5 linked regions of the Macaca mulatta genome follow. The protein of the gene in region 5 interacts with the protein of the main gene of each other region in a biochemical or structural test. Links are inferred from orthologs where the notes say so. Each region holds a gene or a part of one and is shown on either strand. Other genes may lie near its edges.

Evidence for each region.
Region 1: the proteins of HTRA2 (region 5) and LATS1 form a complex in vitro, tested with the Homo sapiens proteins (2 studies listed by BioGRID, with this or other methods). The link is inferred for Macaca mulatta from reciprocal best matches to the Homo sapiens genes HTRA2 and LATS1.
Region 2: of the proteins of HTRA2 (region 5) and CSN2, one has a biochemical effect on the other in vitro, tested with the Homo sapiens proteins (2 studies listed by BioGRID). The link is inferred for Macaca mulatta from reciprocal best matches to the Homo sapiens genes HTRA2 and CSN2.
Region 3: of the proteins of HTRA2 (region 5) and MAPK12, one has a biochemical effect on the other in vitro, tested with the Homo sapiens proteins (2 studies listed by BioGRID and IntAct, with this or other methods). The link is inferred for Macaca mulatta from reciprocal best matches to the Homo sapiens genes HTRA2 and MAPK12.
Region 4: the proteins of HTRA2 (region 5) and XIAP form a complex in vitro, tested with the Homo sapiens proteins (10 studies listed by BioGRID and IntAct, with this or other methods). The link is inferred for Macaca mulatta from reciprocal best matches to the Homo sapiens genes HTRA2 and XIAP.

The regions. Positions count from the first base shown.
Region 1 is NC_133409.1:68,187,365-68,193,532, forward strand, and holds part of LATS1 (serine/threonine-protein kinase LATS1), read right to left. Parts: intron 4,526-6,168; coding exon 3,012-4,525; intron 374-3,011; coding exon 1-373. UniProt on the Homo sapiens protein: Negative regulator of YAP1 in the Hippo signaling pathway that plays a pivotal role in organ size control and tumor suppression by restricting proliferation and promoting apoptosis.
Region 2 is NC_133410.1:63,893,881-63,899,366, forward strand, and holds part of CSN2 (beta-casein), read left to right. Parts: intron 1-1,418; 5' UTR 1,419-1,430; coding exon 1,431-1,481; intron 1,482-2,193; coding exon 2,194-2,220; intron 2,221-2,325; coding exon 2,326-2,352; intron 2,353-3,346; coding exon 3,347-3,367; intron 3,368-3,458; coding exon 3,459-3,503; intron 3,504-4,610; coding exon 4,611-5,141; intron 5,142-5,486. UniProt on the Homo sapiens protein: Important role in determination of the surface properties of the casein micelles.
Region 3 is NC_133415.1:1,184,048-1,190,814, reverse strand, and holds the start of MAPK12 (mitogen-activated protein kinase 12), read right to left. Parts: upstream 4,333-6,767; 5' UTR 4,061-4,332; coding exon 3,936-4,060; intron 3,857-3,935; coding exon 3,727-3,856; intron 657-3,726; coding exon 598-656; intron 1-597. UniProt on the Homo sapiens protein: Serine/threonine kinase which acts as an essential component of the MAP kinase signal transduction pathway.
Region 4 is NC_133426.1:130,331,160-130,337,327, reverse strand, and holds part of XIAP (E3 ubiquitin-protein ligase XIAP), read right to left. Parts: intron 1,989-6,168; coding exon 1,788-1,988; intron 1-1,787.
Region 5 is NC_133418.1:50,271,511-50,278,177, forward strand, and holds the end of HTRA2 (serine protease HTRA2, mitochondrial), read right to left. Parts: coding exon of another isoform or gene 6,630-6,667; intron 6,529-6,629; coding exon of another isoform or gene 6,462-6,528; intron 6,217-6,461; 5' UTR 6,215-6,216; coding exon of another isoform or gene 6,141-6,214; intron 6,046-6,140; coding exon of another isoform or gene 5,973-6,045; intron 5,712-5,972; coding exon of another isoform or gene 4,967-5,711; intron 4,888-4,966; 5' UTR 4,887-4,887; coding exon of another isoform or gene 4,748-4,886; 5' UTR 4,463-4,747; coding exon 3,957-4,462; intron 3,856-3,956; coding exon 3,651-3,855; intron 3,562-3,650; coding exon 3,367-3,561; intron 3,132-3,366; coding exon 3,099-3,131; coding exon of another isoform or gene 2,874-3,098; coding exon 2,768-2,873; intron 2,639-2,767; coding exon 2,569-2,638; intron 1,880-2,568; coding exon 1,784-1,879; intron 1,679-1,783; coding exon 1,513-1,678; 3' UTR 1,297-1,512; downstream 1-1,296. Other genes in the region: LOXL3 (lysyl oxidase homolog 3), read left to right, coding at 64-179, 259-395, 502-613, 816-889; lipid droplet-regulating VLDL assembly factor AUP1, read left to right, coding at 4,837-4,886, 4,967-5,104, 5,184-5,711, 5,973-6,045, 6,141-6,214, 6,462-6,528, 6,630-6,667.

The sequences.
Region 1 (6,168 bases), on a different chromosome or scaffold from region 5:
TTAATAGGCTCATCATATCACCCCCAGGAATGTAGTCCATTACAAAGTATAAATTGTCCTTATCTTGGAATGAATAATACAGACGAACTACCCATTCATTGTCAGCTTCAGCCAGGATATCTCTCTCAGCTTTAACATGAGCAACTTGATTTCGAAGAAGAACATCTTTCTTTCGGAGAGTTTTTGTTGCATACAAAGCCTTAGTATCTACTTTTCTTGCTAGGCAGACTTCACCAAATGCTCCTATTCCTAGTGTCTTTATCTTCACAAACATAGACTTGTCCATTTTAGCCCTTTTAAGACGGATGTAATTAGATTCTTTTTGGCAAAGCATCTTTCTCATTTGATCCTGGGCATCTTGAGATAATCCAACCTAGGCAAATAAACTAGATGTTAAATAAGAATTATCTTCTTCAATATTGAATATTAAGAAATAGCTTGGAAAAATTTCAGGCATATATTTAAAGGTTAAATACATAATTTTAATAAAGCATGTTAGAAATCTAGAAAACATTTCAAAGGAAATTAATGATCAAAAGTGCAGCCTAAGGGGTAGTTAAAAGGATATTCAAAGTGAATACATATGCAAATTCAGCTGTGGAGCGCAAGAAGAGGGTACCAGATGAGTAAGCTTTCTACTCTTCTCTAATGCACTCCAAAAAAAAAAAAGGTTCTCAATGTGCAACAAACACCTGTTAACATGCATCTTCATTTATCTCTCTGTTACATGCTTCTCTTGGTGGAATGCCTAGGCCTCAAATATTCTTCCTCCTATTTTGTCTTTCATGAAAAAAAAAAATTCTTCCACTCCAGGTTCATTTATTCTAAAAAATTAATGTACCAAAGAACAACAAAACAATGCCTTTTCTAACCCACCAATCCTTTCCCCATTCTCAATAAATACACAATAGTCATTAATAATCTTTCCTTTTCTCTTTTTCAGGGCATTAGAGTAAAGGTGCGACTCACGGCCCACCACTAACACAAATTGCAAAGGGTTTCTCCTACTTCGAAAAGAACCACCTGGTTGTTCACAAGATATCCTTTGGATATTTAGGAATACTTCAAAGAATAGTCAGTGTGACTCATGAACAGATCAAAAAATAGATTAAAAACAAAAACTAACTTCTAAGTATTATAGATATGGAATGCCTGGATTTAGAAGGGAGAAACATTTTTGGCTAATGAATAAAGAATTAATTAAAGGGTTTAAATGAAAAGAAATTCAATTGGAAAAGTGGGGTCTAATTCTAGAAATACAAGACTAAAATAGAGCAACCACATGCTTCTGTTAGGATTCGTATTTGCATGCAAAATCTTTTAAGGGTGGCATGCCAGACTTAGTTCAGAACTGTTTCTCTTAAAATCTTACTTGCCTACACAGTAATGGAGACTACAGAAGTCAGCAAAGCTTCCAACACCATAAAAGTTTAAATCAGCTATTAGTGAAAGTGAAGAGGAAAAAGGAAAAATAAACTAAGAAAATACACATAGACAGACTTTAGTAAGAAATCCTAAGAACTAAAATATGAATAAGTCATAGAAATTATTATGGTATTTCTCATTTAATAAAATATAAAATGGAAACAACAATACTGTAAAATCAGATATGGAAAAATCATTTTAAAAGAATAGTTCTCTCAAGTATATATATAAAGGAGTTTAATCACAAGGTTAAGCCTCTTGGATTGTGAGTGACAGATGTAAGATTAGGAGTCAAATATTTGAACTGTAAGCATATGATAAAAACAATAATAGACGGGTGCAGTGGCTCACGCCTGTAATCCCAGCACTTTGGGAGGCAGACGCGGGTGGGTCATGGGGTCAAGAGGTCAAGACCAGCCTGGCCAACACGGTGAAACCCCGCTTCTACTAAAAATAAAAAATTAGATCGGTGTGGTGACGGGTGCCTGTAGTCCCAGCTACTGGGGAGGCTGAGGAAGGAGAACTGCTTGAACCTGGGAGGTGGAAGTTGCAGTGAGCCGAGATGGTGCCACTGCACTCCAGCCTGGCAACAGAGCAAGACTCCGTCTCAAAAAAAAAAAAAAGATGATGATCGCACTACCTTAATATCTAGTGAAGAGATCTATGTGAAATGACAATACATATTAAAGTGTGTTTACTTATTCTGATCTCCCTTTTAGTGCAGTTTGACTAAATAATTTCAGCACATTTTTCTCTAGTATATTATAAAAATGAAATGAGAAGGGAGAAATAACTGAAGGGAATTTCTTTTACACTTTCTAATAAGAACTATGTGATGAATAAACCCATAAACTCCAAATTTTCTACAAGTAAAAGGAATTGTTTCGTAAGTATATCAGGAGATGAGACCCACATATTTCTTTCTTTTTTTTTTTTGAGACGGAGTCTCGCTCTGTCGCCCAGGCTGGAGTGCAGTGGCGCGATCTCGGCTCACTGCAACTGCCACCTCCCAGGTTCACAACATTCTCCTGACTCAGCCTCCCAAGTAGTTGGGACTACAGGCGCCTGCCACCGCGCCCGGCTGATTTTTTTTTTGTACTTTTAGTAGAGACGGGGTTTCACCGTATTAGGCAGGATGGTCTTAATCTCCTGACCTCATGATCTGTCTGCCTCGGCCTTCCAAAGTGCTGGGATTACAGGTGTGAGCCACCGTGCCCGGCTTGAGACCCACAAATTTCTAATTTATGTTTAAATGTTGTAAGATAATGTATAAAACCTAGAAAACAACCTTTCCTCCAATTTTCATATAAAGGTATTATGTACACCTAAACTGTACACTGCAAATTATATTTTTCTTAATTTACACAAGATTTTATTAGAGGAAATTCTGAGTAAATCTTGAAATACTAAAAAAAAAAAAATGCTACAATCAAAAGTACTTTAAATTTATTCACTTTTAAATTCTGTAACTGATAATATATTGTAGTTAGCTATAAAAAAAGAAAAATACTGGAGCACAATATTTTAAAATAAACACCAAGCAAATAGATTTTAAGTATAAAAATGGACATTTTAAAAGGTTTTACCCGCATCATTTCATTCTCTAATTGTTTTTTACGATGTAGACGCTGCTGATGAGATTTGAGTACATTTTCTACATGTTGCTCCATAAAGAATTTAAATGCTTGAGGAGAATAACTTTGAATACGAGATTCCCTTCGCTCTTCATCTTTCTTGGTTTTCCTAACAGTAATGGGTGAAGTTGTAATCTGTTTCTTTTCTTTATCCCCACTATCAACATTTTCATAACTCTTTTCACTCTCATCTTCCTTGGGCAAGCTTGGCTGATCCTCTTTGCTAGGCTTACTGATTGATTCATATGGAGGAACAGATGGGTTTTGGTGCAGCAGATGTTTTGGGTAGGGTGGTGGTGGTCCTTGATAGTTTGGAGCTTCAGCAACAGGTGGCATCACAGTCACATTTGAAGCGGTTCCCTCAGGAAAAGGACTGGGTTGAACAGTTTGAATTGGCTGTGGTATCCAAGAAGGGTGTGTAGGTGCTAAAGCAGTCTGTAGCTCTGGTTTTAATACACGCATGCTTTTCACAGGCTGTTGAATAGGAGCTGGTGTAATTGCAGTGACTGTTGTAGCGGAAGGCTGAGAATTAGCAGAGTGACTTGCTCTATTTCCTAATGGGTTATTAAAAGAATTTGACCTCACTGGTATGTTAGGTTGCCATGTAGAGATTTCATGCCCACTGCTCGGGGATGACTGGGCTGGAGCAGAAGATGACTGAGGCCAATTTGTTTGCAGTCCAGGTACATTAATGTTATACAGTTCCATGTTATGACTATTTCTGTTTGGCACCATCATAGACTGAGGAATATTTCCATTTGTATATGACGAAGGAGCAGCAGATCCCCCTGTTTGTAAAGCAGAAGGGCTTTGTCCATTAGTTGCGGTCAGAGGATATGGTGGTGGTGGCTGCCGATTCACAGTGCCAGCAGGGACAACATTTTGGTGTATCATGAAATCAGTTTGTCCAGTACCATTCTGCATTCCAGGTCTCCCTGATGGAAAGTTAAATTTGCTAGAACTCTGCATGATGATTGGTTGTCTGCCAACAGGAACAGAACTAATGCCTCTCTGTCCCTGATTAGAAGGATTCATGGGGGAAGTATTGAGAGGTGGTGGAGGATAGCCCTCTTGCCATGCCCCAGGTGGGACAGGAGAGATTCGGGAGATTACGTATTCCATGTTTCCAGAATAGCGTTTTGTTTGAGAGTTTGGTTCCCATGAAGGGGGAGGTGGAGTTGTACCTCTTGGAGGGGGAGTCTGGCCTCTTGGAGGTGGTGGAGGAGTAACACTCCTTACTTGAGGTGGAGGTGGGGGGTTCACTCTCTGTCCGTTGCTGGGGTGAGCTTGAGCAAATGCTGTTATACCAGATCCAGACAAAGGTCTTCCTACATCTGTCTGTGAGTTGGGACTCTCAGAATGATAGGCCACACTTTCTCCTAGTGGTGGGCCATGCCTCTGAGGAACTAAGGATTCTTTAGAACCTTTCCAGCTCTGTTTGCGGTTAACTGATTGTTGCACATTCCCTATGGGTATAAGAGAGATAAAGAGGAAAAAGAATCATGTTTTCAACCTCTTATTTTTGAAAAGCTTGCAATTCTGATACTACAAATGATACTCAATTCTCTTTCAAGAATTATAAAAATATAAAAAAGTTCAAGTGATCTCTTGTACAAAATGGTGACTATAGTTAATAATGTATTGTACTCCTGAAAACTGCTAAGAGAGTAGATTTTAAGTGTTCTCACTACAAAAAAACGATATGTGAGGTAATAATACATGTTATTTAGCTCAATTTAGCAGAAAAAGAAAAAAGAAGAGTTATAAAAATAAAATTTCAGTAAGTGGTTTCCTTTCACCTTTTAAAATTTTATTTATTTTTGACCGGGCGTGGTGGCTCACACCTGTAATCCTAGCACTTTGGGAGGCTGAGGTGGGTGGATTGCTTGAGCCCAGGAGTTTCAGACCAGCCTGGGCAACATGGTGAAGTCCCATCTCTACTGAAAACACAAAAATGAGCCAGGTGTGGTGGCACGTGCCCGTAGTCCCAGCTACTAGGGAGGCTGAGGTTGGAGGACTGCTTGAACCGGGGAGGCAGAGGTTGCAGTGAGCCAAGATAATGCCACTGTACTCCAGCCTGGGAGATAGAGCGAGACCTTGTATCAAAAAAAAAAAAAAAAGTATTCTTGACTGATGGCTCAAAATTCACAAAGTACAATATCATACTTCTGTTCTTTAGCCGACCGATCTTTAATAAGGTACTTCAGGGATATACATATACAAGTTAGTACTGTACATCCTATATGTACTACTACGCCTAGCTTTTTTCATTAAACAAAATGAAGATTCTGTATCAGTATAGAAAGTATTTCCTCACTTTAAAAAATGTTACCATTGTTTTTCACCTTATGGATATACCCTAATTTATTTAATCAGTTCCTTCACTGATAGACATTTAGGTTATTCCCAGTCTTTTGCTTTATACATTAAAAAAAATGCAGCAATGAAAAATTTTGAACAGGCCAGGTGTTGTGGCTCACGCCTATAATCCCAGCACTTTGGGAGACTGAGGTAGGTGGATCACTTGAGGCCATGAGTTTGAGACCAGCCTGGCCAACACGGGGAAACCCCATCTCTACTGAAAATACAAAAAAATTAGCCAGGCGTGGTAGTGTGCACCTACAGTCCCAGCCACTCGGGAGGCTGAGGCAGGAGAATTGCTTGAACCCAGGAGGCCAACGCTGCAGTGAACTGAGATTGTGCCACCGCACTCCAGCCTGGGTGACAGTGCAAGACTCCATCTCAAAAAAAAAAAAAGAAAAAAAAATTTTTTTTGAACAGATATAGTTTCATATATATGCATGCATATTTGTAGATAAATTATTAGAGGTGGCATTATTAAGCCAAAGGGCGTATCTATTTGTAATATTCATAGCTAGTACTGATTTTAAATATATTTAAATATATATATATTTTTAAATTGAAACAGAGTCTCACTTTGTCACCCAGGTTAGAGTGCAGTGGCACAGACTAACTGCAACCTCCATCTCCCAGGTTCAAGTGATTCTCCTTCCTCAGCCTCCCGAGCAGCTGGGACTACAGGAACACGCCACCACGCCCAGCTAATTTTTGTAATTTTAGTAGAGATGGGGCTTCGTCATGTTGGCCA
Region 2 (5,486 bases), on a different chromosome or scaffold from region 5:
AGTATAAAAATTAGTATAATTGGTATTAGTATATATTAGTATATTTGTATATAAAATTAGTATAGTAATTATATATTAGCATATAAAATTAGTATATATTAGTAGATTAGTAATAAAATTAGTAAAGTTTATAAGTAGATTACTTATAAATATAGAAAATGCTGTGGGATCCTCCCTAAGTGTAATTATATACAAAATAGAGTGCTATATTCTTTTTCTGAACCCCGACATAAAAAATTTGGAAACTTATGGAGGTCTTAGGCAAAGCAAAATTAATAAAAAATATTTAACATTCATAAAAAATCTAGAAAAAAATTTATTTTCCATAATAGAGAGAATTATGTTCAACTTTCAAATATTGAAAAGAACATTTTTCAAATAAATTAGAGACTTTTTTCATGAAGTATTTTTAGTTCAAAAATTGAGTTTCAAAATCTGAAAATGAAGATTTGAGTGTCAAGTAATATTGTGGCATAAACATTATTTTGGAATTAAAAAAATGTAAGAACACATAACAAGGAGATGATTTCGTATATTTTGGTCATAAATGTTAACATATATTTCACAAGAAGAGGTAGTCCCAAGCTGGACAGTGGGCAAGAGGTCCTGACTCCTTGGCAGATCATCAAGAGACCTTTGTGTACATTTTAATACAGAGAAGAGAAGAAGCCTAGTGTATAATCTCTAAAGTCATGGGGCAAAAAGGAGAACAGATATTATTAGCTATGTGGGGAAGATGGATATAAACAGAGAAGAAACAAACTTTATAGTCCAACAATTCTCTGGATAGTGACACAAATAAGGAAAGTGTTAAAATGAAAATCTCAGTCTTATTGGAAATGAGGAGAAATAATTAAACTAAAATATTCATGGTAACCGTTTAGTGAAAAAAAAAGATAAAAATAAAATGTGACTTTTTTGTACACATTTTCTTGATTAGTCTCTTCCAGTAGAACTGAGGCTCCATCAGGGAGTAATATCAGGACTGTAATATTTTGCTCATTGCTGCAGTCCTGGTCCCTAGACAGTGTCTGGCAAGAACAGATTCTAAGGAAATATTTTTAAATTAATGAATAAATCTTTCCATATATATTTATAACTTCTTTATGCCTTTTGAAAAATTCAATACTGCAAATGGGACGTTTTTAAAAGTGGGGATGAGTTGTTAGCTGAAATATCTGAATAGTTGGCAATGAAGTTTGGAATTTGATAAATGAGAATAGCAAGCCAGAATAGATTTTGACCTGAGTCATATGATATAACTTCTATTTAGTATTTATTCTATTTATTTTCTAAAATGTAGACATTTTTGTCATACATTGTCTCTCTTTTTTATAAAAAGTAACCTTACCTAACTAAATAAGAAAATATATCCAATTGACCAATCTATCACTATTCCATTTTTTCTCCATTCACAGGACTTAGTAGCCATGAAGGTCATCATTCTTGCCTGCCTGGTGGCTCTTGCTCTTGCAAGGGAGGTATGTGCACAAGAAAAAATTCATAAAAATCAAGAAATAGTGGACTATATGCCTATTTGTAGAGAATAACATCACCAACATTTTTTACTTTATAATAAAGAAGAATTTCATGAAAATTATCTTGACTTCTATCAAAATCATTTATATTTACCCACTGTCTCAACAGTTTCCTATAGTGCTCCAAATGCTTCCGACACCAATGTGCTGCTAGTCACTAAAGAAAAAGCAAACAAATCAATAAGTAATAAAAAATCATAAAAATGGCAACAAATACATGCATAAATAACTCCACAGATGCTCAACCTAGATAAACATATCTTATTCCAGTCATAAAATGTATATATATCTTATAGCCTAGGGCACTGGGTCCAAGTCTGTCTATACAAAGGCATCCATAGGATGAAGTACAGACACAATCATAATCCTAATCATACATTCATAATAATATAGTAAAAATATTTAATACAAATTAAAGTGACTCAACCATCAAAAACTGTCTTTAATAAATGTAAGATAAAAGTATATTAATAAAAATTACTAAATGTAAAAGACATTAAAGCAATTACCTTTCAAGCCTCAAAAGTCATATAACATTTTTAATTTGTCACATTTGTGAAAGAGATAGATCTGCATAAATGATGTAAAAATTAAGTAGGATACATGTTTAACAATGTGTTAGCTGTAGAAACTGAATTTTTAAACATCTTTTCAGAAGGAACAATCCAGTGCATCCTTTGAGGTAAGATTTTTTTTGTTTAGAGAAAATTTATGAACCATAAAATAGTAAAATTCTCTAATGATCTAGAAGATGTAGCTGGTTGTCATTTTTTTTTTTTTTCCACAGACTGTAGAAAATCTTTCAAGCAGTGAGGTAAGTTAACATTCTGCCCAATTTTAGAAGAGTAAAATCCTGTGCTATTTTTCTATGGTGTTATATCATGGCAGTTAAGCTAATGCCACTATGTCAATGACATATAAGTTCTAGTATACATTTCCTTTATATATGTTTAAGGACAATAAGTATCTGGAAAATACAACATTCTGGAACTTTCTAAATTGGCTTGCTACTTGAAATTGTGTTATGTTGCTTCCTCTTTTTTTTTTTCTTTTTTAATGAACCATACAGTCCTGTTTTCTGCCTTGAACTCTCTTTACTCTGAACTCATTCACTTTGAGCATATATTGAGGGTCTTCTATGGGTCAGACATCGACTAGGAGCTGTGGTACAAACTGAAAAGATAGAGATGCGAGTGATAGTTAAGAGCTTGCTAAGCAGTAGGTAAGCAGATATGAAAAAGGTCACATTTTATAATTACAATTGCCACTTTAGCAAATAAGTGAGATTTAGTGTAGTCCTAAATCTACCTGAGAGAGTCAGGTAGATATTTATTCTTACATCTCTCTTCTTGGGTGTGTGATCACTTGATAAGTAAATGGTACCTCAATAGACTCTGTTTCTTCAGGAAGGTTGTATGATCCTTAAGGGAAATGTTTAACTCTTCTGATTCATTTGAAGTGATCATAATGTATCAATTGTTATTAGAACATATTTTCAAAGAGTATTGCCTTTTTTAAAAAACCAAATGGGGTTTTAGAGATCATTTGTTGTCAGGGGATGAGCATGGTGGTAGAGAGAAATTAGCATCTATTAATTGCTTTTTTTGTGCCATGTCCTTCTTGACTGCATTCATCTGACTTTCTTTTATACAACAAGCTTATATAGAACAATTTAATATATAAGCTTTAATGATTATACAAAGTTATTAATGATATTATCAAACAATTAATGCCTTTATTTCCTGATTTATATTGCAAAGTAAGAATTGTTAAAACTAAATCTAATTTTATTTTATATTTTTCCATAGGAATCTATTACACAATACAAGGTAAATTTTCACATTTAAAATGTACATATTTTCAAAATTTCCTCTAATTTTTACAGATGGTAACATATTTTTATATATGATTTATTTTTAGCAGACAGTTGAGAAGGTTAAACATGAGGACCAGCAGCAAAGAGAGGTAATTTGTTAACGATAAGTATATTTCTAAAATTATCATAAAGTATAATACATACAAAAATATTTATAATGTATATGTTGATTCTAAAGAATGGTAATAAAATAAATGCCATATACCCACGAACCACTGTAAAAAAATTAAACATTGATAAAGTCAATATATTTTCTAGGATATGCATGCATTTTTAAACTCATAATTAATTTCTGGAATATAGACTAAATACATAATGATATTACTAATGGTATATCTGTTTTCAACAAGCGCACATTGGTGGGAACATTTCCAGGTTGGGAACTATGATCCTCTTATTTTCAAGGTGGATATGGTAATGAAAAGGAGTATACAGCTGGTAAAAAATAAACTATGTAGAATTTGTGCCATACTGCCTTCATTCCCGTATGGACAACACAAAATCCTGTATTTCATTAAATTACATTTATGGTGATATGTTTACCTAATCACAATTTTCAGTTGCTTTGTGTATCAATGAATTGTTTGGTATCACATAAAATATTTTTAAAATCAATTTTAAACAAAAAAATCAATGTCTCTTGAAAGACTCAAGAGACTATCTTCTCCCAAGGGAAGGAATGCAAGAATTTGGCTGGTGTTAAATCACTTCCTGAGATAAGCCACAAATTAAGACTGATTTTCTTTTTCATCAAACCAAAACAAAACAAAAATGAACCTTGGAATTGTCCCTCTAAGTCTTTTTAAACTGACCTCTTTTCACTGTGTGAAAACAATTTGGTCTATTATTGGCACAACTGTGTTGAAAAGTAAATTCTCTCTGAAGACCAAAGTGTACAGTTACAGCTATACAGGCAATTCAGGAAAAGGTTAAAAGAATGTTTCTGAAATATCCAAACATTGATTTCACTTTGGCCTGTGTAGTTACCCATGAAGTGAGTGGATTAAAATCTTTCAACAAACATTTTACTCATTTTTCCTCACATAACTCAAGATAATTTCTTAACAAAATAAGTGAAATATTTTCTTCCTCTCTTTCTACTCATTTATCATTGCCTAAAAGAGAGAAATGAATTCATTATGAATGGCAATTATAGCTGAATCAAGGACTCAAAGATTCTTTTTCCTTCTTTCCAGGATGAACGCCAGGATAAAATCGACCCCTCTTTCCAGCCACAGCCTCTGATCTATCCATTCGTTGAGCCTATCCCCTATGGTTTTCTTCCACAAAACATTCTGCCTCTTGCTCAGCCTGCTGTGGTGCTGCCTGTCCCTCAGCCTGAAATAATGGAAGTCCCTAAAGCTAAAGACACTATTTACACTAAAGGCAGAGTGATGCCCATCCATAAATCTCCAATGATGCCCTTTTTTGAGCCTCAAATCCCAAAACTCCCTGATCTTGAAAATCTGCATCTTCCTCTGCCTCTGCTCCAGCCCTTGATGCACCAGGTCCCTCAGCCTATTCCTCAGACTCTTGCGCTTCCCCCTCAGCCCCTGTGGTCTGTTCCTCAGCCCAAAGTCCTGCCTATCCCCCAGCAAGTGGTGCCCTACCCTCAGAGAGCTGTGCCTGTTCAAGCCCTTCTGCTCAGCCAAGAACTTCTACTTGATCCCACCCGCCAGATCTACCCTGTGACTCAGCCACTTGCCCCAGTTCATAACCCCATTAGGGTAAGTACAAATTTACTGACTTTGCTGTTTCATTCAAAATGTGTATGGGATGGTAGAATAAAAGAATAAATGTAGAGTAAATGAAAATAATAAAGCAGTTTAGATAAGTGATTCTTAATGCTTACCTATACAATAGAATCATCTGGAGAACTTTTCCCCACAAATCCCAATGCCTATGCCTACCCAGAGATTCTAATATAATTATTCTCGTTCTTTGTGTAGAGGAAACTGAGTGCTGAGAAAAAAGCTATTGCATGAATTCTGATTTAATTAGTCTGTTGAGAATTCTGATTTAGATAAAGTAATTAAAGCTTACAAAAGCCAGAATTAAATTTAATAGTATGC
Region 3 (6,767 bases), on a different chromosome or scaffold from region 5:
ATCTGGGTCAGAGGGGCTGGCTGAGCCGGTGGAGACGGACACAGGAGAATGGTATTTAGCACCTCCCCAGAGGCCACTGAGGCCAGCGTGGGTCCTTGACCTCTGCAAGTCAGGCGGGAGACATCTGCTACCCTCTCCAGGCCTTCCTCAGCCTGGCCCTTCACTCTTGGCCGACAAGGTGTGAGTCCCGGGGTGGTCGGCTGCAGGGCAAGGGCAGGGTGGGTCCTCCCTACCGCTTCTCCCCCACCTGCTGGGAAAGGTCAGCAGCTCCAGTTACCGGCCACACACTTGGTGCCAGGGTCCCGAGCACGGGACCTTCCTGTTAACTAATGGTCAGGTCCAAGGTTCACACCTCCGGTGCCGGAGAGCCCAGGTGCCAGGCGTGAAGGGAGGCAGCAGCCCCAGCTCTGCCCAGCTGTGGGTCCCAGGACCATGTGGGGGAGGGTGTGGGGCAGAGTAGTATGGGGGGGGTTGGCAGTGTGCATCCCCCACTCAGGCTACAGGAAGAGAACCCCATGCCAACCTGGAACCTGAAGCCAGTGCCCAGAGCTGCCCACCACCCCTTGTGCCCAGCAGCCAGCCCAGGTCGGCACTCACAAGTCTGTGAAGTCATCCAGGGTCTCATCAGGAGTGAACACATCCAGCAGCCCAATCACCTGGGGGGCCAGGTAGGGTTGAGAGTGCAGCGGAGGACACGGGCTGGGGCCCCCCCCAAGAGTGGCACAGCCCTCTGGGCAGGAAACCCCCTCTGCAGCTGTCGTCATGCCCCACTGTCCAAAGGGCCTGGCTCTGCCCACTGGCAGCGTGGCCCAGCCCTGGCACACATACCCACAGACAGGTTATTTTTGGATGGTGACAGCCGGGATCTTCTGGGGGAAGGGCAACCCGGAGTCTGGGCTGGCTCTGAACCATCCAAAGGGCTCCTACCACTTGCCCCTTTCTCCCCTCTTCTCCCCAACCAAGCAGACTGACACCCAGGGAAGGGATAGTGCTATGAGGAGAGGCCAGGCCTCTGCTGGTGAGGCCCAGGTGGACAGCACCATGACCCGCCAGACCTGGTCCCCACAGCACCCCTGGTTGGGGAGATGGACAGTGGACAGGTCATGTGATAACTGCTGCCTCAGCATTTTGGGGTGACAGGGTCCCAGGGAGGCCCGGAGAAGTTCTGCACAGCCAAGGATGGAGGGGCAGGTAGACATGTGGGCTGCGGGACACCCGGCAGAGGGCACATGCAGAGTGGCCAAGGCAAGAGGGAGAACACTTGGGAGAGTTTGAGGAACACAGGGAGGGAGGCCAGGTGGCCAAGGCCCAGGCCAGGGAGGGGCTGAGGAGAGGCCAGAGGGAGCCGGCAGGGCAGCACACACCAGGTGAAAGTTTGGCTTTGATCCCAAGAGACAGGGAAGGATTTAAATGGGTGTGATGCTAAACGCGTCCTGCTGGCCGTGGTGTAGGGACTGGCCAGAGTGAAGCAAGAATGGACCTAAACTGGAAGGACAGCTCTGCCAGAGCCATGGGCAAGAATGTGGAGGGAGGAGGAGAAGGAACAGAGGCCCGTCCAGGGAGGCCTGGGAACAGTGGGGTCTGTGGACACGACAGCTGGAGGGTGCCCAGGAGAGCGCTTTGGCAGAAGATGGAAAGCAGGGTCCTGTGGGCTAGGGGCCATAGGACTTGGCTTGGCCTCTGTGGTGTGGGGGCTGGCCTGGAGAGGGAGGTGGCATGGGGATGGCAGGACTGGGGCCTGTGGCAGAGCCTCCTCCCCCGCTGAGCAAGGCATGTGGCCTCACAGAGCTTCAGTCTTCCAGGAAGATGGGGTTCCAGGGAAGGAGCCTCAGCTGCAGGCCGGGAGCCCAGGGGGTGGACCCCCAGGCACAGCGGGGACCCCAGGACAGCAGGGCGGTGGCTAAAGAAAAGCCCAGCGCGGTGGGTCACGGCTGCACTCCCAGCAATTTGGGAGGCGAAGGCAGGCGGATCACGAGGTCAGGAGTTCAAGACCAGCCTGGCCAACATAGTGAAACTCTGTCTCTACTAAAAATACAAAAAGTTAGCCGGGTGTGGTGGTGGGTGCCTAGAGTCACAGCTACTAGAGAGGCTGAGGCAGGAGAATTGTGTGAACCCAGGAGGTGGAGGTCACAGATCGCGCCATTGCACTCCAGCCTGGGCGACAGAGGGAGACCCCATCTCAAAAAAGAGAAGCCCCAGTGGACGGGCGCGGTGGTTCAGGCCTGTAATCTCAGCACTTTGGGAGGCCGAGGCAGGCGGATCACTCGAGGTCAGGGGTTTGAGACCAGTCTGCCCAAAATAATGAAACACCGTCTCTACTAAAAATACAAAGCATTAGCCAGGCATGGTGGCATGGACCTGTAATCCCAGCTACTCAGGAGGCTGAGGCAGGAGAATCACTTGAACCCAGGAGGCAAAGGTTGTGGTGAGCCGAGATCATGCCATTGCACTCCAGCCTGGGCAACAAGAGCGAAACTCCATCTCAAAAGAAAAAAAAAAAGAAGAAAGAAAAGCCCCAGAGCACTTGGCTGGATGGGGCAAGGCCCAAGCAGGTGAGTGAGTGGGTGGGTGGGGGCAGGGGGCCGAGGGGAAGGCTACAGTCCTGGGGCAAGGTCTCGGTGTGACGGGCGGGATGGGGGAGTGCAGTGGTGGCAAGGTGGGGGCAGGGCCGGGTGTGACGGGGGTGTCGAGGTGGGGGCAAGGTTGGTGTCCACCGCAAACAGATTTCACAGGGCCCGGGGTGGTGAGCTGGGGTCAGGGTGGGCTATGGGAAGCCTCAGAGAAAAGGACCCACCCAAGGGGCTGAGAGAGTGGCGGTGGCCAGGAACCAGGGGGCGGGTGGTTTGCTGGTGGACGCAGGGACTCATTCTCCCAGGGCACCGGTGGCTCGGATGACCCAGGAGGGTCCAGAGCATCTCACACTGGAGCTAGGGTCCGGGCGCCCAGGCCACCTGCCTTCAGGCTGGGCCCAGACCAGGGGCAGGGCAGGAGTGACATGGGGGGCAGTGGACAAGTGGGACTGTGTCCAGAAACCAGAGGGCCCCTGGCAGAGAAGTCCGGCTCTTCGCAGCCAGCCACTCCGTGGGAGAGGCCCAGGGCAGCTGTGCATGGCATCTCACAGGCAGGACTGGAAAGGATGGGCCCCCACAACGAAAGGGAGGGTGTCTGTGAGATGACCACCACGCCCAGTGCCCCCCAAACAGCAGCTCCCTGAACCCTTCACTCACCCCCAGGGTTCACCATACTCCCTACGTTCTGGCGCCCCCCTCCTCCCCCTCCACCGGGTCGGAAGACTCGGGAGATGGACAGCAACAAAGTGGGCTCCACAGAGGGGCTGGAGAGGGGCCCGGATGGGAAAGAGAAGGTGCCCCTTCCAGGAAAATCCTCCTGCCGGGAGCATCCTCTCACCGCGGGCTTCCTGGCTGGGGGCAGGGTTTGGCGTGAGACCTGGAGGATCCCCTGGGCCTGGCCAAGTCGTGTCCCCTGACCAGGGCCTGGCTGAGACGCCAAGTCAAGGGGCTCTTTCCCGGGCCTGGCAGAGGAGGGGGAATGGCCCTTGGGGGAGTCGTCTCCTTGCTCTCCTTCTCCCCTGGGGGCCCACGGCCCGACCCCCGCCCCGCCCCACAGCAGGTTGCCTGGGGAAGGGGTTGCCGGGTGGAGGGACCCAGCCCAGCCGAACCCAGCCGAGGCCGGGGCGCCTTCCCGGAGCGGGGTCGCGCGACTCACGTTCTCGTGGCGCATGTGCTTGAGCAGGCGCAGCTCGCGGTAGGCGCGCTTGGCGAACAGCTCCGACTGGAAGGGCCGGTACAGCTTCTTGATGGCCACCTTAGCGCCGGTGCGGCTGTCCACGGCCGAGCTGCGGGGCGGACCGCTTAGCGGGAAGGCCGGGCACCCCGCGCAGGCCCCGCCCGCCCCGCCGGCCGCCCCGCGCTCACCACACCGCGCCATAGGCGCCCGAGCCCACGGGCTGCAGGTCCCGGTACACGGCGCGCACCTCCCAGGCCGTCTTAGTCACCTCCTGGCGGTAAAAGCCACTGCGGGCAGGCGGCGGAGAGCTCATGGCAGGCCCGGGAGCCGCCCACCCCGCAGAGCCCGCGGGCGGTGCCCCAGGACCGGGGACCTGGGATCGGCGGGGCTTCCTCGGCGTGCGCCCCGGGCCGACTCCGCGCTGCTCGCCCGCCCGCCGCTGGGACGCTCCTGTTCCCGGCCCTTCCCTCGGGGATGTCCCAGGTGCCGACCCTGGCCCGACCCCGACCCAGGCAGCGCACGGCCCCTCCCCCGCCCGGGGACCAACCGGCCCGCGGGCGGCGCGCACGTGACGCCCTCGCCCGCCCTCCGGCCCCTCCGGAAACCCGAGGCGGCCGCCGCCGGGGGAGGGCCGGAGCCTGGGGGGAAGCGCAGGGGGAGGGGAGCGCCGCCCCGCAGCTTTGTTCCGACCTAGGGCCGGACGCGGCGCGGAGATACCCCTGTCAGCCTCTCCCCTTTGGCTGAACTGCCCCGCTCTGGGGGTGGAGCCGGGGGAGTGGGGAGCTCCTGCTGAGACCCTGGGCTCCAGTCCTGACTGCCCATGGTTCCAGGGCGCAGGGCCCATCCTTGACAGCCTGAGCGCTGACTTCTATCGGCAGTCCCAAGTTGGGCTGAGCCCTGTGTACCTAGAGTCAACTTCCCACGCCACCCCCAAGGATGCCCTACCTCTGCGCCTGATCCATCCATCCCCGAATGGGGGGTCCATCTGCACCTGTCTTGCCTGTATCCCTCTTTCTACACGGAGGGGTCTGTCTCCCAAAATCCTCAGGCTGCATCCCCAACCCCACCCCTGTGGCCACTGACCCCGGGCCTCTCAGTCCCATAGGTCCCCGAGGGCCCTTTTGGACACCCAACTCCTCCCCCTGCTCCCCCCATCTGCGGGGTGACTGCTGCAAGTGTTGCAAGTGCTGGTGCCCCTGCCCGTCCCATCCCTGCCTGTCCTGTCCTGCAAAACCCAGGCTGAGGGTGGCTGCACTGTCTCCAGCAGGGATGGGGACCTGCTGGGGCCCTCAGCCTGACCCCTCTGTGTGGGCATTATCCTCCCATATGTCTGGCCCCATCCTAGACCAGATGCTCTGGTGGGCGAAGCCCCACCCTGACACCCCCACCGCAGTCCAGAAACCTGGGTCTGAGGAGGGATGTGGGTGCACCCCGGGAGCCCACTGGGCTGGTGGGTAACAGGATCGCTAGGGCCCTCTGCCCCGCCCTCCGGCCATGAATCAGCAGCTCAGCCGCTCAAGGGCGGGAGGAGCTTTACACCTGGGCTTTGGGCTGTGTTCCGTGGCATTCATCAGCTCGTGCCCAGTGAGCAGGGGCAGCCCGGGGCTGCCCAAACCACAGCTGCCTGTGGCCTGCACCCTTTGTGCCCTGGGCTGCCTGTGGCACTCCATCTACCTCTTTCAGGAAGCCCAGCTGCCACTGCTGTCCCCCTTAACTCCCCGTGGTGGAGCTCAGGGGTCCAGAAGGCCCCGCACAGACCAGGCTTCTGAGGGGGGGCTGTGTCCCCATTCTGCTCCCACCCCCAACCGCCAACACTGGACTTCCCCCAGGACTGACCACTACACTGATGAGGCCCCAGGAGGGCCCCCAACTCCCAGACAGTTTCCACCCCTACCCAAGACCCAAGCAAGGGCACAGACTGTCCCTGGCCCCTAGAGACACTGCCTGACCCCAAATGGTCTGGCCCCTCCCCCACACGTAAGCTGCAGAGCATAGTGGGAACGGGACCAGCACACACATTCTCTGGGTTAAAGTGGCCTCTTTTTCCTTCACCAGGAAGGAAAGGAAAGCTATTTTCCCTAGCCCACCCAGCCCCCACCCAGGGATGGGCAGACCCTTGCTCCCTTGACACCCAACTCCCCCCCAGCCAGCTTCCCTGACCACTGAGGGGTAGGGAGGTGGTGTCTGGATCTTGGCCCAAAGCCAAGCCTGCCCAGTACATCCCCACAGGGCAGCTGGGGTCACCATCTGGGTGGCCGTCCCACCCTGTGCCCTCAGAGCCCACCCATCAGCCGTGTCCTCCCCTGGTCCCCCTGGGCTCAGACCCTCCAGGGAGCAGGGAGGGTGCCAGAAGATGGCCACTGGTCTGACTGGGGGCCTGAGGGATCTGGCCAGCTAGAGGTGAGTGATGCAGAGTGACCCAGACACTCCCCCCATGCCCAGCAGTGGGGATGGCGGGGGCAGCAGGGCCTGGAGTGGCCTTTGGATATGAACCGAGCGAGATAACCCCCTTTATTGTGCACCCCTGGTGCAGGCACTTGACACCCAGGCTTCCCTGGGCCCCTCGAGGCAAGAGGTCACCCCCTTTCCAGGGCAGAGCCATACCCCCAACTCAGCTCTGGGCAGGGTCCCGTCTCCGAGGTTACTGGATCAGCTCCATCCTGGGACAAGGAAAGAGGAATGACACGCAGACCAGAGCACCTCAGATCTCCGGCTGCAGGGCCACAACGGTGGGCAGAGGTAGAGAGCGGGCCAGGGTGCGGCGCACAAGTGTTCGAGTCCAAGTCCACACCCGCGTGTGCTGCCTGCCTTAGCGTCCTCAAGGCCAAACCACCCAGTCACCCCCAGCCTCAGGAGCCTGCTGCGGGTCACATATCCGAGGAGAAAGCCCGTGCTGGCGCTCATGTGGCTGCCCTTTCGCCCACTGGAGCCCCCAGTCTGAAACACCCCTCACAGCATCAGGAACTGAGGAGAGGGAAGGCAACAGCACGCCCGCCCCAGCGCCAGCTTCTTGCCAGGCA
Region 4 (6,168 bases), on a different chromosome or scaffold from region 5:
CAACCTGCTAAATCTTTCTGCTGCAGACACATTAAGGTTTGAAAGCTAATAACTTATGGCCAAACTTAATTAAGTGCGTGTTTAAGATGCAGGAAAAAAATGACACAATTGCTTGTATTTCTGTTATAGTAGAAAAATTCTAGTCTGGCCAACTGGGAGAAACCCTGCCTCTAATAAAGATACAAAAAATTAGCCGGGCGTGGTGGCGCATGCCTGTAATTCCAGCTACTCGGAAGGGTGAGGCAGGAGAATTGCTTGAGCCGGGGAGGCAGAGGTTGCAGTGAGCTGAGATCGTGCCACTGCACTCCAGCCTGGGCGACAGAGTGAGACTCCGTCTTAAAAAAAATAAAGAAAGAAAGATGACCAAGTAAAGGGTTTATTTTACCACCACCAAGATAAGTGGAGCCTGTGTAAGTTTTAAATAAATGCATCTATAAGGGAAAAACTGGAAGCTTTCCATTGATTCTTACATCAATGAATATAATTTTAAATATCATTAATGTTCATACTGTTTCATAACTTAAGTAATTATCTGAATAATGTTTCAAAAGCACTTGAAATATCTTAAAGATCACAAGGATTTTAAATGTGTCAAAAATAAGTAAATGTTTAAGTTTATTAGCAGTAGGAGAATTCTCATCTTTTTGGAGGGAGGATAGTCAAGAGCTTAGAGAACTATTACAGGTATAGTACCCAAAAGTGTACTCAGTTTGAAACCTCTTCTTTTTTTTTTTTTTTTTTTTGAGACGGAGTCTCGCTCTGTCGCCCAGGCTGGAGTGCAGTGGCCAGATCTCAGCTCACTGCAAGCTCCGCCTCCCGGGTTCCCGCCATTCTCCTGCCTCAGCCTCCCGAGTAGCTGGGACCACAGGTGCCGCCACCTCGCCCGGCTAATTTTTTGTGTTTTTAGTAGAGACGGGGTTTCACCGTGTTAGCCAGGATGGTCTCGATCTCCTGACCTTGTGATCCGCCCGTCTCGGCCTCCCAAAGTGCTGGGATTACAGGCTTGAGCCACCGCGCCCGGCCGTGAAACCTCTTCTTTAACCTTCGATGTTGTTGGCAAGCACTATAGTGTCCATCATCCTTAAAGGAGATATATATATATTTTGAGACAAGATCTCGCTCAGCTGCCCAGGCTGAAGTGCAGTGGCATGATCATGGCTCACTGCAGCCTTGATCTCCCTGGCTCAGGTGATCTTCCCCGCTCAGCTTCCCAGGTAGCTGGGACTACTGGCACACACCACCATGCCCGGCTAATTTTTGTATTTTTTGTAGAGACAGTTTCATTATGTTGCCCAGGCTGGTAGAATTCATATTTTTAATCTTTTTTCCATGATTAATGTAATGATATTTGGAAATGAGGCCTTTGGGAACTAATTAAGTTTGGATGAGGTCATGAAGATGTGACCCCCATGATGGGATTAGTGTCCCTAAAAGTAGAGGAAAAGAGACCAGAGTACTTGCTCCATCTTGTCCCATCCACCCCCAACCCATGCCATGTGAGGACACAGTGAGAAGGCAGCCATCTGCAAGGCAGGAAGAGGGCCCTCATCAATAACGAAATCGGCCAGCACCTTGATTTTGGAGCCTCCGAAACTGTCAGAAATAAGTCTGTTGTTTAAGACACCTAGTCAATGGAATTTTATTATAGCAGCTTGAGCAGACTAACACACAGCATTAAGGTTATGTTTAAAAAATGTCCATATCCCCAGCCTCCCAAAGTGCTGGGATTACAGGTGTGAGCCACCACATCCGGCCCTTTCTTGCTTTTTAAAAACAGCAATGCATACCTTTCTGTAATGAAGTCTGACTTGACTCATCTTGCGTACTGTCTTTCTGAGCATTCACTAGATCTGCAACCAGAACCTCAAGTGATTTATAGTTGCTCCCAGATATCTGAATTTTTTCCTCCATTATTTTCTTAATGTCCTTGAAACTGAACCCCATTCGTATAGCTTCTTGTACCATAGGATTTTGGAAGATGGTATCATCTGAAATAAAAATTGGTGAGGAAAAAGAACATAGAATTTAAACAATTATTTTCATTATCACAACTCAATAGCAAAATATAGTTAAAATGAAAAAATTCAGCAGCAAGCAAAAGAACAAAAACAAACCAGCAAAGCAAAGCTGCTTTGGGAAGATTTTTTGAAGTATTCAGGCACTGAAAAATCACTTTCAGAATCTTACAATTAATTGTAAATGCAATGAGTATGTATTTTGTAGTGTTTGAGACGATGCAAGGTAAAACAGGCAAGAAAAAGGTTAAGTGCTTCAAAAATCTGAACTTTTTAAAATCTAGCTGTACTCTTTAACAATTAACCTAAGGTACTTAAAGAGTGGATGTTGTTACTGAGTCACTAGCAATTATTTGGGGAAAATGATGGGAAATTAGGGAAATCCCAGTCTATAACCTTGAACATGTCAATTTCCTAGCTCTCAAACTTCATTTCTGTAGTAGAGCGGGTAGGACTGGATAAAGCAAGAAAGTCAATGGAAACCTGTTTTTATGATACTCAAAGTAGGAACACAGCATGTGTAGGGAAGTGCTAAGAGAGGACACTTATACCCTCTGACTCATCAATTCCACTCTTGGGTATTAAAAATGAGTGTATATCTCTGCCAAAGATATGCACAGGAATATTCATAGCAGTGTTATTTATAATAGCCCCAAACTGGAAACAACTCAAATGTCCATCATCAGGTGAATAGATTGTGTGGTATATTCATAAGCTACACAGCAAGAAAAAAAACTATTGCCACAGACAATATGGATGAATCTCATAGATATAACGAGCAAACCAGAATCATAATTCATCATTATGACACAAGAGTACCTACTGCATGAGTCCATTTATAAGAACTTCAAAACTAATCTATGGTAATAAACAAAATTAATCTATGGTAACAGAAGCCAGAATGTAACTTGGGGGTGCGTACTGATGGGGAAGGAGCATGAAAGAGCTTTCTAGGGTTGTGGAAATGTTCTATGTCTTAATCTGGGGGATAGTTACACAGATAAATATATATATTTTAACAGACACATTTTAATATATATTTAACACATATTTTATTTAATATATATTTTAACATACATACGTTAAAATTCATCAAGTAGAAAACTTATGATTAGGGTACTTGAAGCACTTTACTGTATGTGTGTGTGTATATATATACATACATACATATATATATATATATATATATATTTTTTTTTTTTTTTTTTTTTTTTGAGACAGAGTCTCACTCTGTCACTCAGGCCAGAGTGTAATGGTGTGATCTCGGTTCACTGCAACCTCTGCCTCCCAGGTTCAAGCAATTCTCCTGCCTCAGCCTCTGGAGTAGCTGGGATTACAGACATGTACCACCACACCCGGCTTTTTGTATTTTTAGTAGAGACGGGGTTTCACTATATTGGCCAAGCTGGTCTCAAATTCCTGACCTTGTGATCTACCCTCCTCGACCTCCCAAAGTGCTGGAATTACAGGCGTGAGCCACCACACCTGGCTACTATATGTATATTATAGCTCAATAAATGTTTTTTTGAAAGAGAGGAGGCCGGGTGCAGTGGCTCATACCTGTAATCCCAGCACTTTGGGGAGGCCAAGACAGGGGGATTCTTTGAGGTCTGCTGTTTGAAACCACCCTGGTCAACAAAGTGTGACCCTGTCTCTATTAAAAAATAAAAATAAAACATAAGGCTGGGCATGGTGGCTCACATCTGTAGTCCCAGCATTTCAGGAGGCTAAGATAGGCAGATAGCTTGAGCCTAGGAGTTCAAAACCCTGTCTCTGTAAAAAATATAAAAATCAGCTGGGTGTGGCAGCACACGCCTGCGGTCCCAGCTACTCTGCAGGCTAAGACTGGAAGATACTGTGAGCCTGGGAGGCGAAGGCTGCAGTGAGCCAAGACTGCACCATGGCACTCCAGCCTTGGCGACAGAGCGAGATGCTATCTAAATAAATAAATAAGTAAATAAATAGAGGAGGCTGGAAAGGAAGAGATATAGAGATTCTAGTATAAAGAACATATATAGTAAATAACAAAATATATTTTTACGGTAGGAAAGTAACTTAAGATGTGTGTTTTGATAAAAAAAAAAAAAAAACTCTTGCTGGGCGCGGTGGCTCACGCCTGTAATCCCAGCACTTTGGGAGGCCGAGACGGGCGGATCACAAGGTCAGGAGATCGAGACCATCCTGGCTAACACGGTGAAACCCCGTCTCTACTAAAAATACAAAAAATTAGCTGGGCGTGGTAGCGGGCGCCTGTAGTCCCAGCTACTCGGGAGGCTGAGGCAGGAGAATGGTGTGAGCCCAGGAGGCGGAGCTTGCAGTGAGCCAAGATCGCGCCACTGCACTCCAGCCTGGGTGACAGACCAAAGACTCCGTCTCAAAACAAACAAACAAACAAAAAAAAACACAACTCTGGGCCAGGCATGGTGGCTCACACTTGTAATCCCAGCACTTTGGGAGGCTGAGGCGGGCGGTTCACAAGGTCAGGAGATCGAGACCATCCTAACACAGTGAAACCCCGTCTCTACTAAAAATACAAAAAAAAATTAGCCAAGCATAGTGATGGGCGCCTGTAGTCCCGGCTACTCGGAAGGCTGAGGCAGGAGAATGGCGTGAACCTGGGAGGCAGAGGTTGCAGTGAGCCGAGATCATGCCACTGCACTGTAGCCTGGGCGATCGAGCAAGACTCCGTCTAAAAAAAAAAAAAAAAAAGAAAAAAAAAGAAAACCTCTGTTGGGAGGTTATAATATAGAAAAAAGACCAGTTAGGAGACTACTACAATTGTCCAGATGAAAAACAAGGAAGGGCCTGAACTAGAGCAGAGTAAGTGGGAAAGTCTGAAGCAACATTAAAAAGGTGGAATCCATCAAATTTGATGATTAATTAAATGTAAAAGGATTACAGAGAGCAAAGAGCTTAGGAACACATAAATTACTGGGCAACCTTGTGAACTGTGGTACTATTAACCAATACAGGAGAAAAAAATGCAGGATTGGATTCAGTCTGAGTGGTTTTTAGAGATGCATTCTAGGTAGAAATGTCCAGAGGGCAACTATACATTGCTCTTTCTTGCTTCTATCTTTGACTTGTTTTTATTTTCAGTTTGTTTTGTTGCTCCTTTACTTGTGCCCATCTAATGAGATGTTGGTGGTTCCCTTCGAATCCCTCATCGACCCTTCTTAAAAATGGTCTTTCCAGCCAGGTGCAGTGGCTCACGCCTATAATCCCAGCACCTTGGGAGGCCGAGGTGGGTGGATCACCTGAGGTCAGGAGTTCAAGATCAGCCTGGCCAACATGGCAAAAAAAAACCCTGTCTCTACTAAAAATACAAAAATTAGCTGGGTGCAGTAGCATGTGCCTGTAGTCCCAGCTGCTCGGGAGGCTGATGCAGGAGAATCCCTTGAACCCGGGAAGCGGAGGTTGCAGTGAGCCAAGATTGCGCCACTGCACTCCAGCCTGGGTGATAGAGCGAGACTCTGCCTCAAAAGAAAAAAAAAAAAAGGTCTTTCCAGACACTTCCCCTACCAGCACCATCTTACTCTCATTTATACAGGTTTTATTATCCTCCTACTTCAATGTCCTGCAGGTATCTCAAACTCAACTTGCTAAAAACAAAAAGGAAGGACATGGACCCCTACCTCATACCATATACAAAAATTAACTCAAAATGGATCAAAGACCAGAATGTAAGATATAACACCATAAAACTCTTAGAAGAAAACATAGGTATAAACCTTGGTGACCCTGGATTAGGCAATGGTTTTTTAAATATGACATTAACAGCATGAGCAACACACACAAAAAAACAGATAAATTGGATTTCATAAAAATTAAAAACGTTTGGCCGGGCACAGCAGCTCACACCTGTAATCCCAGCACTTTGGAAGGCTGAGGCAGGTGGATCACCTGAGGTCAGGAGTTCGAGATCAGCCTCAACATGGAGAAATCCTGTCTCTACTAAAAATACAAAATTAGCCGGGCGTGGTGGTGCACGCCTGTAATTCCAGCTACTCAGGAGGCTGAGGCAGGAGAATTGCTTGAACCTAGGAGGCAGAGGTTGCGGAAAGCCAAGATCGTGCCATTGCACTCTAGCCTGGGTAACAAGAGCAAAACTCCGTCTCAAAAAAAAAAAAAAATTAAAGACGTTATGCTTCAA
Region 5 (6,667 bases):
CACGGGGATGGGGCAAACCTTCTGGGGGAAGAGAAGGAAACAGAAGTTCCCTTCTCCCCACAGGCATTACCACAGCATGGACATCTTCACTCACTATGATATCCTCACCCCAAATGGCACCAAGGTAGCTGAGGGCCACAAAGCTAGTTTTTGTCTCGAAGACACTGAGTGTCAGGAGGGTGAGTTGGGGCCTGAAGTGGACCACATGGTATCCATCGCACAGCCTTTCCTTACACTGACATATGCCAATCCCTCCAGATGTCTCCAAGAGATATGAGTGTGCCAACTTTGGAGAGCAAGGCATCACCGTGGGTTGCTGGGATCTCTACCGGCATGACATTGACTGTCAGTGGATTGATATCACAGATGTGAAGCCAGGAAACTACATTCTCCAGGTACCTGGAGTCTGGGGCTTCCAGATGGGTGACTGGGGGGAGCGTTAAAGACACCTTTGAATTTGAGGATTGTTGCTGGGTTAAGTGGCCTTTTTCTCACTCACAGATTGTCATCAACCCAAATTTTGAAGTAGCAGAGAGTGACTTTACCAACAATGCAATGAAATGTAACTGCAAATATGATGGACATCGAATCTGGGTGCACAACTGCCACATTGGTATTTGATGGGAAGAGCAACCCAGGAAGATTAGGGGATGGGAGGGAAAGACGTTCATTCTCTTTTCTGTAACTTGTTTCTGCATCTTCCCACCCTCCTCTGGAGCTCTCAGTCCCTCCACTTGTACCCATCTTTCTCCACAGTGGGTCTGTCTTCCTCCCTCTGTGCAGGGCGCCTCCCAAATTGCCTGTCCACTCTGCAGGTGATGCCTTCAGTGAAGAGGCCAACAGGAGGTTTGAACGCTACCCTGGCCAGACCAGCAACCAGATTATCTAAGTGCCATCGCCCTCTGCAAACCACCACTGGCCCCTAATGGCAGGGGTCTGAGGCTGCCATTACCTCAGGAGCTTACCAAGAAACCCATGTCAGCAACCGCACTCATCAGACCATGTACTATGGATGTGGAACTGTCAAGCAGAAGTTCTCACCCTCCTTCAGAGGCCAGCTGTCAGTACCTGTAGCCAAGCATGGGAATCTTTTCTCCCAGGCCCAGCACCGAGCAGAACAGAGCAGAGCCCACCACACCACAAAGAGCAGCACCTGACTAACTGCCCACAACAAAAGATGGCAGCAGCTCATTTTCTTTAATAGGAGGTCAGGATGGTCAGCTCCAGTATCTCCCCTAACCTTAGGGGGATACAGCTTTACCTCTAGCCTTTTGGTGGGGGAAAAGATCCAGCCCTCCCACCTCATTTTTGACTATAATATGTTGCTAGGTATAATTTTATTTTATATAAAAAGTGTTTCTGTGATTCTTTAGAGCCCTGGAATCAGTGCTGGTGGTTGGAGGGACCTGCCCCCACTGGTTCATTTAACCCTCTGTCCCGGCGCCCTCAGAGCCTCAGCCAGGAAGGCAAGGAGGAAATCAGAGCAGGAGCCTCATACTCTTGGTGATCTATTCATTCTGTGACCTCAGGGGTCACATATAAGGTCAGTGTTTCTCGTCCCCGCCGGATCTGCACTGCCAGCTGGGATTGGGTTCGAACAGCTTCATAAACATCTTCAGCATTTTGTACCATCTGCCCCCCAATGGCCAAAATCACATCACCAGGCCGCAGACCAGCCCTACAGAGAAAAATGGACAGAGAGAAAAGAAGGAGTACAAAGCCTAGTTCAAGGACACATGCACACCTCACCCATCCCCATATCACACTGCAGCCTCTCCCTCACCGGTGTGCAGGGGAGCCCAGGATGACTTTATGGATGAGTACACCATGCTGAACATCAGGAAAGCTTGGTTCTCGAAGCTGTAGTTCAGCAAGGATGCTGAAAGTACACAGATCACCCTATTAGCCAAACCCAGGCATTCTCCCCATCCTGAGTTCCACCTCAAGTCTCTCATCAACACATTGGCAAATAGATGGACAGGACATGCGCTAGGTACTACAAAATACAACGGCAACTCACTTTCTGTCTTCTAGCAATAAAGTGCAACATGTACATAAAAGATGTACACCACATGAGGGCACCAAATGACAAACAGTATGAAATCAATAGCACTAATGTCATTCTAGAGTACTAAAAGAAGCTTTAAGGGGAAAAAACTTAAGCTGAGCCTAAAAGGATGGGTCCAATATTAACCATATAAAACAAGAACAGCATAAATAAAAAACATGGGAGTAGGAAATCAGGTTGGCTGAGTATTCATATAGGAAGGTATTACAGCCAGGTCTAGAAAGTTGATTTACAGACAGATGGAAAATGCCCTTAAATGCCAAGTTAATGGATTGAAGGCTTGAAATCAAAGCAGTAACAGGATGAAATCAGTCTGACAGGTGTAGAAAGTGGAGTGGAATAAGAAAGTCAAGATGATGAAGGGAGACAGCTCTTGTGATTATTTCAAGTGTGACACAGTTCATTTTAGATAAAGACAGAAATGAGAACAAAGCTCAATAGAGGTGCCCACCTCTGATTACACTGGTCACATTACATGTCACTATCCCTAAAGCTCATACCTGGGACTCAGGGTCAGCATCATCACCCCAATGTAGCGCCGCTGGGACCCACTGATTCCAGAGGAGGAATCTGTGACAGAGGGACAAATAAGCCCCACCCAGCTACATCCTTCCTTCCCTGCCCTCTTCTCCCAATAGACCACCCTCCAGGAAGTCCCAATGAATGCCCCTCCCGTATTTCCCCATAAGCCAGGCTCACTCTTCTTTTCCCCACGATGCAGAAACTCTCGAAGGCGATCAGAAGGGATGGCAAAGGAGATTCCAGCTGTGACCTTCATGGTGTTCACTCCAATCACCTCTCCATCCTGCAGGGATACATCCCCCAGTTCCCTAGCCCAAACAAATAGTAGGGGATGGGGGCACCCGAACAAAAGTAGCAGCAAGTGTTGGGGAGATCCAGTTGGATGTTGAGAGATAGCCAACAAAGAACTGCTCAGAAACTTGACCAAACATCCTTGAATTAGGGAAAACCTACCCTTCCCACACAGACCTGGGGCTGGGATTCTTGGAAGGAAGGATGTCTCACTCACCAGGTTAACCAGGGGACCTCCAGAGTTCCCAAACTGCAGGACAAGGAGAAAACATGAAAGAGATCTGAGGATTCTAAGTCTGGGGGCATACCAGGATGTAGGTACTTTCTCCAAATTCTCTTCTTTCTCAGCCCATGAATGAGTGGCCACATTTTTGCAGCCTAAGCTCTGTATATAGGCTCATCCACCATATATCAGTTGGTGCTTGTACCACACAGCCTCTCCCCACTCCCCCATCATGTGTCATTTCTCTCCTATCAGGACGCACATCAATAGCTGCATCCGTCTGAATGTATTCCACATTGGTTTGGGGGAGTCCCAGGTCTCTGGCTGGACGCTGAGCAGAGCTAACAATGCCGGATGTGATCGTGTTCTGCAGTGCAAAGGGACTTCCCATGGCAACAACAAACTCCCCTTGCCGGACATCAGCTGAGCGTCCCAGAGGCAGCGTGGGGAGAGGCTCCTAAGGGAGAATGGGTATAAGAGACCTGTCATCTGGAGATGCGAACAAACAAGCAGCTCCAACTAGACCTGGCCTACCCCAGCCCCCACCTTAGTCTGAATCCTCAGCGTTGCGATGTCTGCCACGGGATCCACAGCTGTGACCACGGCCTCATACGTGTCGCCGCTAAGCAGTCTCACACGGACTCTGCGCCGATCAGCCACCACATGGGCGTTGGTGACAATGAGCCCATCGGCAGCCACCACGAATCCTGAGCCGTTCGAGATAGGGACTTCACGGCCCAAGAAAGGGTGCCTGGAATGGAGGGAAAGCACGGATAAGAGGAGGCCCTGACCCCTCCTACCCGCCCGCCCTCCGGCCCGTGGCTTCAGTGCCTCCCGGTCTACCCCCATTACCGGTCCAGGATCTCGATATAGACCACGGCAGGTGCTGTCTTCTCCACCACATCTGCGATGAAGTTGTACTGACTCCGGGGAGAAGCGGGCGGCGGGCCAGGGACGGCGGCGAGGACGGCCGGAGGACCCCGACCCCCGCCCCACAACAACAACAGCACTGCCCCCCCAGCGCCCAGTGCCACAGCCAGCCACGCGCGCGAACGGGTTCCAGAGTTCTCTGAGGCCTCCCGGGTCCTGGTATCTGGGGTCACCGCAGTCAGTTGTGCCCGGGGACCCGGGGTCCCAGACGTCAGACATGCTCGGGGTTCAGGGACCCCAACACACAACCGGGCCCAGAGACTGGGGGTCCCATAAGTCACTCGGGCCCGGGGGTCAGAAGTTCCTGACGTCAGCAGGGCCCGGAGGTCAGGGGTCAACCGGGGTCTCCTCCCCCAGCGAATGCCCCCCAAAGCCCGCCATGCCCGAAGGCTCCAGCCTGCACCCCGCCCCGCCCTCGGCGCAGCCATCAGCTCCGCCTCGGCTGCCTCCTCGCCCGCCCTACTCAGAGGCGGCACCCAGGACGCGAGCAGGCGGACAGTAGGACGCGGGGCACGCCGGTACCTGAAGTCCTCCAGAAGTGCACGTCGGGACCAGGATTCCGGGAGGCCGACTCCTCCCCGTCCCGCGAATGCCGGGAATTGTGGTCTCCGTGGGACGCGAGTTGTGAGACGGCCCAAGGGGCCGCAGGGTATGCTGGGACCGCTAGCCCTTCCGGCGCGCCTCAAGACTTCGGGTCCTGTCACCCCGGGCGGATGCCCAAAGACTCCGCCTTCCCAGGAGCCCCTGCGGCCGGGCGCGAAGATGGCGGCGGCGACGGCTGGGCGCTCCTGAAGCAGCAGTTATGGAGCTTCCCTCAGGGCCGGGGCCGGAGCGGCTCTTTGACTCGCACCGGTAAGAGACCCGGCGGGAAGAGACCTACCCCTGCGTCCTCTCGGCCTTCGGCGCCCGACCACTTCGCCTCTCGCCCCCAGGCTCCCGGGTGACTGCTTCCTGCTGCTCGCGCTGCTGCTCTACGCGCCGGTCGGGTTCTGCCTCCTCGTCCTGCGCCTCTTTCTCGGGATTCACGTCTTCCTGGTCAGCTGCGCGCTGCCAGACAGCGTCCTTCGCAGGTTCTGACGCGGGCGTTTGGGGAGTGTCAAAGCTGGGCCTGGCCCGAGGCCACACAGTCACCACCGCCTGTGTCCCCAGGTTCGTAGTGCGGACCATGTGTGCGGTGCTGGGGCTCGTGGCCCGGCAGGAGGACTCCGGACTCCGGGATCACAGTGTCAGGGTCCTCATTTCCAACCACGTGACACCTTTCGACCACAACATAGTCAATTTGCTCACCACCTGTAGCACCGTGAGTGAGAGCGAGGCCGAGAGCGCCACGGGGCGGTTCCCTGGGGCCCAGCTGAAGGCCCCCCTGTCCCACTCGCGTTCCCCATGGAGGATACTGAGCCTTACCCCTAACCCCGATCCTCTACCCCACATGTCATTTTTTTTCATTTTCCTCAATTTTTTTCTTCTTGCTTTCTCTTCTCCTGGTTCCCAGCCTCTACTTAATAGTCCCCCCAGCTTTGTGTGCTGGTCTCGGGGCTTCATGGAGATGGATGGGCGGGGGGAGTTGGTGGAGTCACTCAAGAGATTCTGTGCTTCCACGAGGCTTCCCCCCACTCCTCTGCTGCTATTCCCTGAGGAAGAGGCCACCAATGGCCGGGAGGGGCTCCTGCGCTTCAGGTGGGTTTAGCACAGGTATCGGGTGCCAACTGGGTAGGTGGTCAAGCTTGTGGGCCCTTGAGTTTTTACAACCTTCTTCGGCCCTTAGCCCCCAACATCTCTAGTTCATTTCCTTTCTGTCCACTTTTAGTTCTTTCTCCTGAATGCCTTCTTTCTTCAATTGTGTGCTTGTAGAGTTTGACAGTTGCCTGTTTTAAGGCACCTATGATCTGCTGACTAGCCTGGCTGGATTCCCATCCTACTTTCTCCTTCCTCTTCTAGTTCCTGGCCATTTTCTATCCAAGATGTGGTACAGCCTCTTACCCTGCAAGTTCAGAGACCCCTGGTCTCTGTGGTGAGTGTGTGTTGAACAAGGAATCTCTGGGGCTTGGAAGGGAAGTTTCCCATCCCTGGCCCTGGCTTAGGCCTCACTTCATGCCCTCCCCTCAGACGGTGTCAGACGCCTCCTGGGTCTCAGAACTGCTGTGGTCACTTTTCGTCCCTTTCACGGTGTATCAAGTAAGGTATTATTAACTGCCCTCACATTTTGGTCGCTGGGGAGAGGCTCACCTCAAGGTCAAGGAATTAGTGGCCTCTGCCCTGTCCATTTGTAGATCTTTATATCAGAGTTCTACCACAGAAGCAACACAAAGTATTTACAGTATTTACTATTTTCCCACCCTCACCATGCAAAGAGTTACCAAAGCGGGGAATGGTGACAGCCTCTACCCTGGGTGCCCACAACATAGCCCTGGATTGTTTTTTTTGCAGGTGGCTTCGTCCTGTTCATCGCCAACTAGGGGAAGCGAATGAGGAGTTTGCGCTCCGTGTACAACAGGTGGTCGGGTGCACAGGCAGGGTGGAGGTGGGGTCCCTACTTAGGAGGAGAGGGAGGAAAGCTTGAGATCTTGACACTTCCAGTCTTCCAATTCTCCCTAGCTGGTGGCCAAGGAATTGGGCCAGACAGGGACACGGCT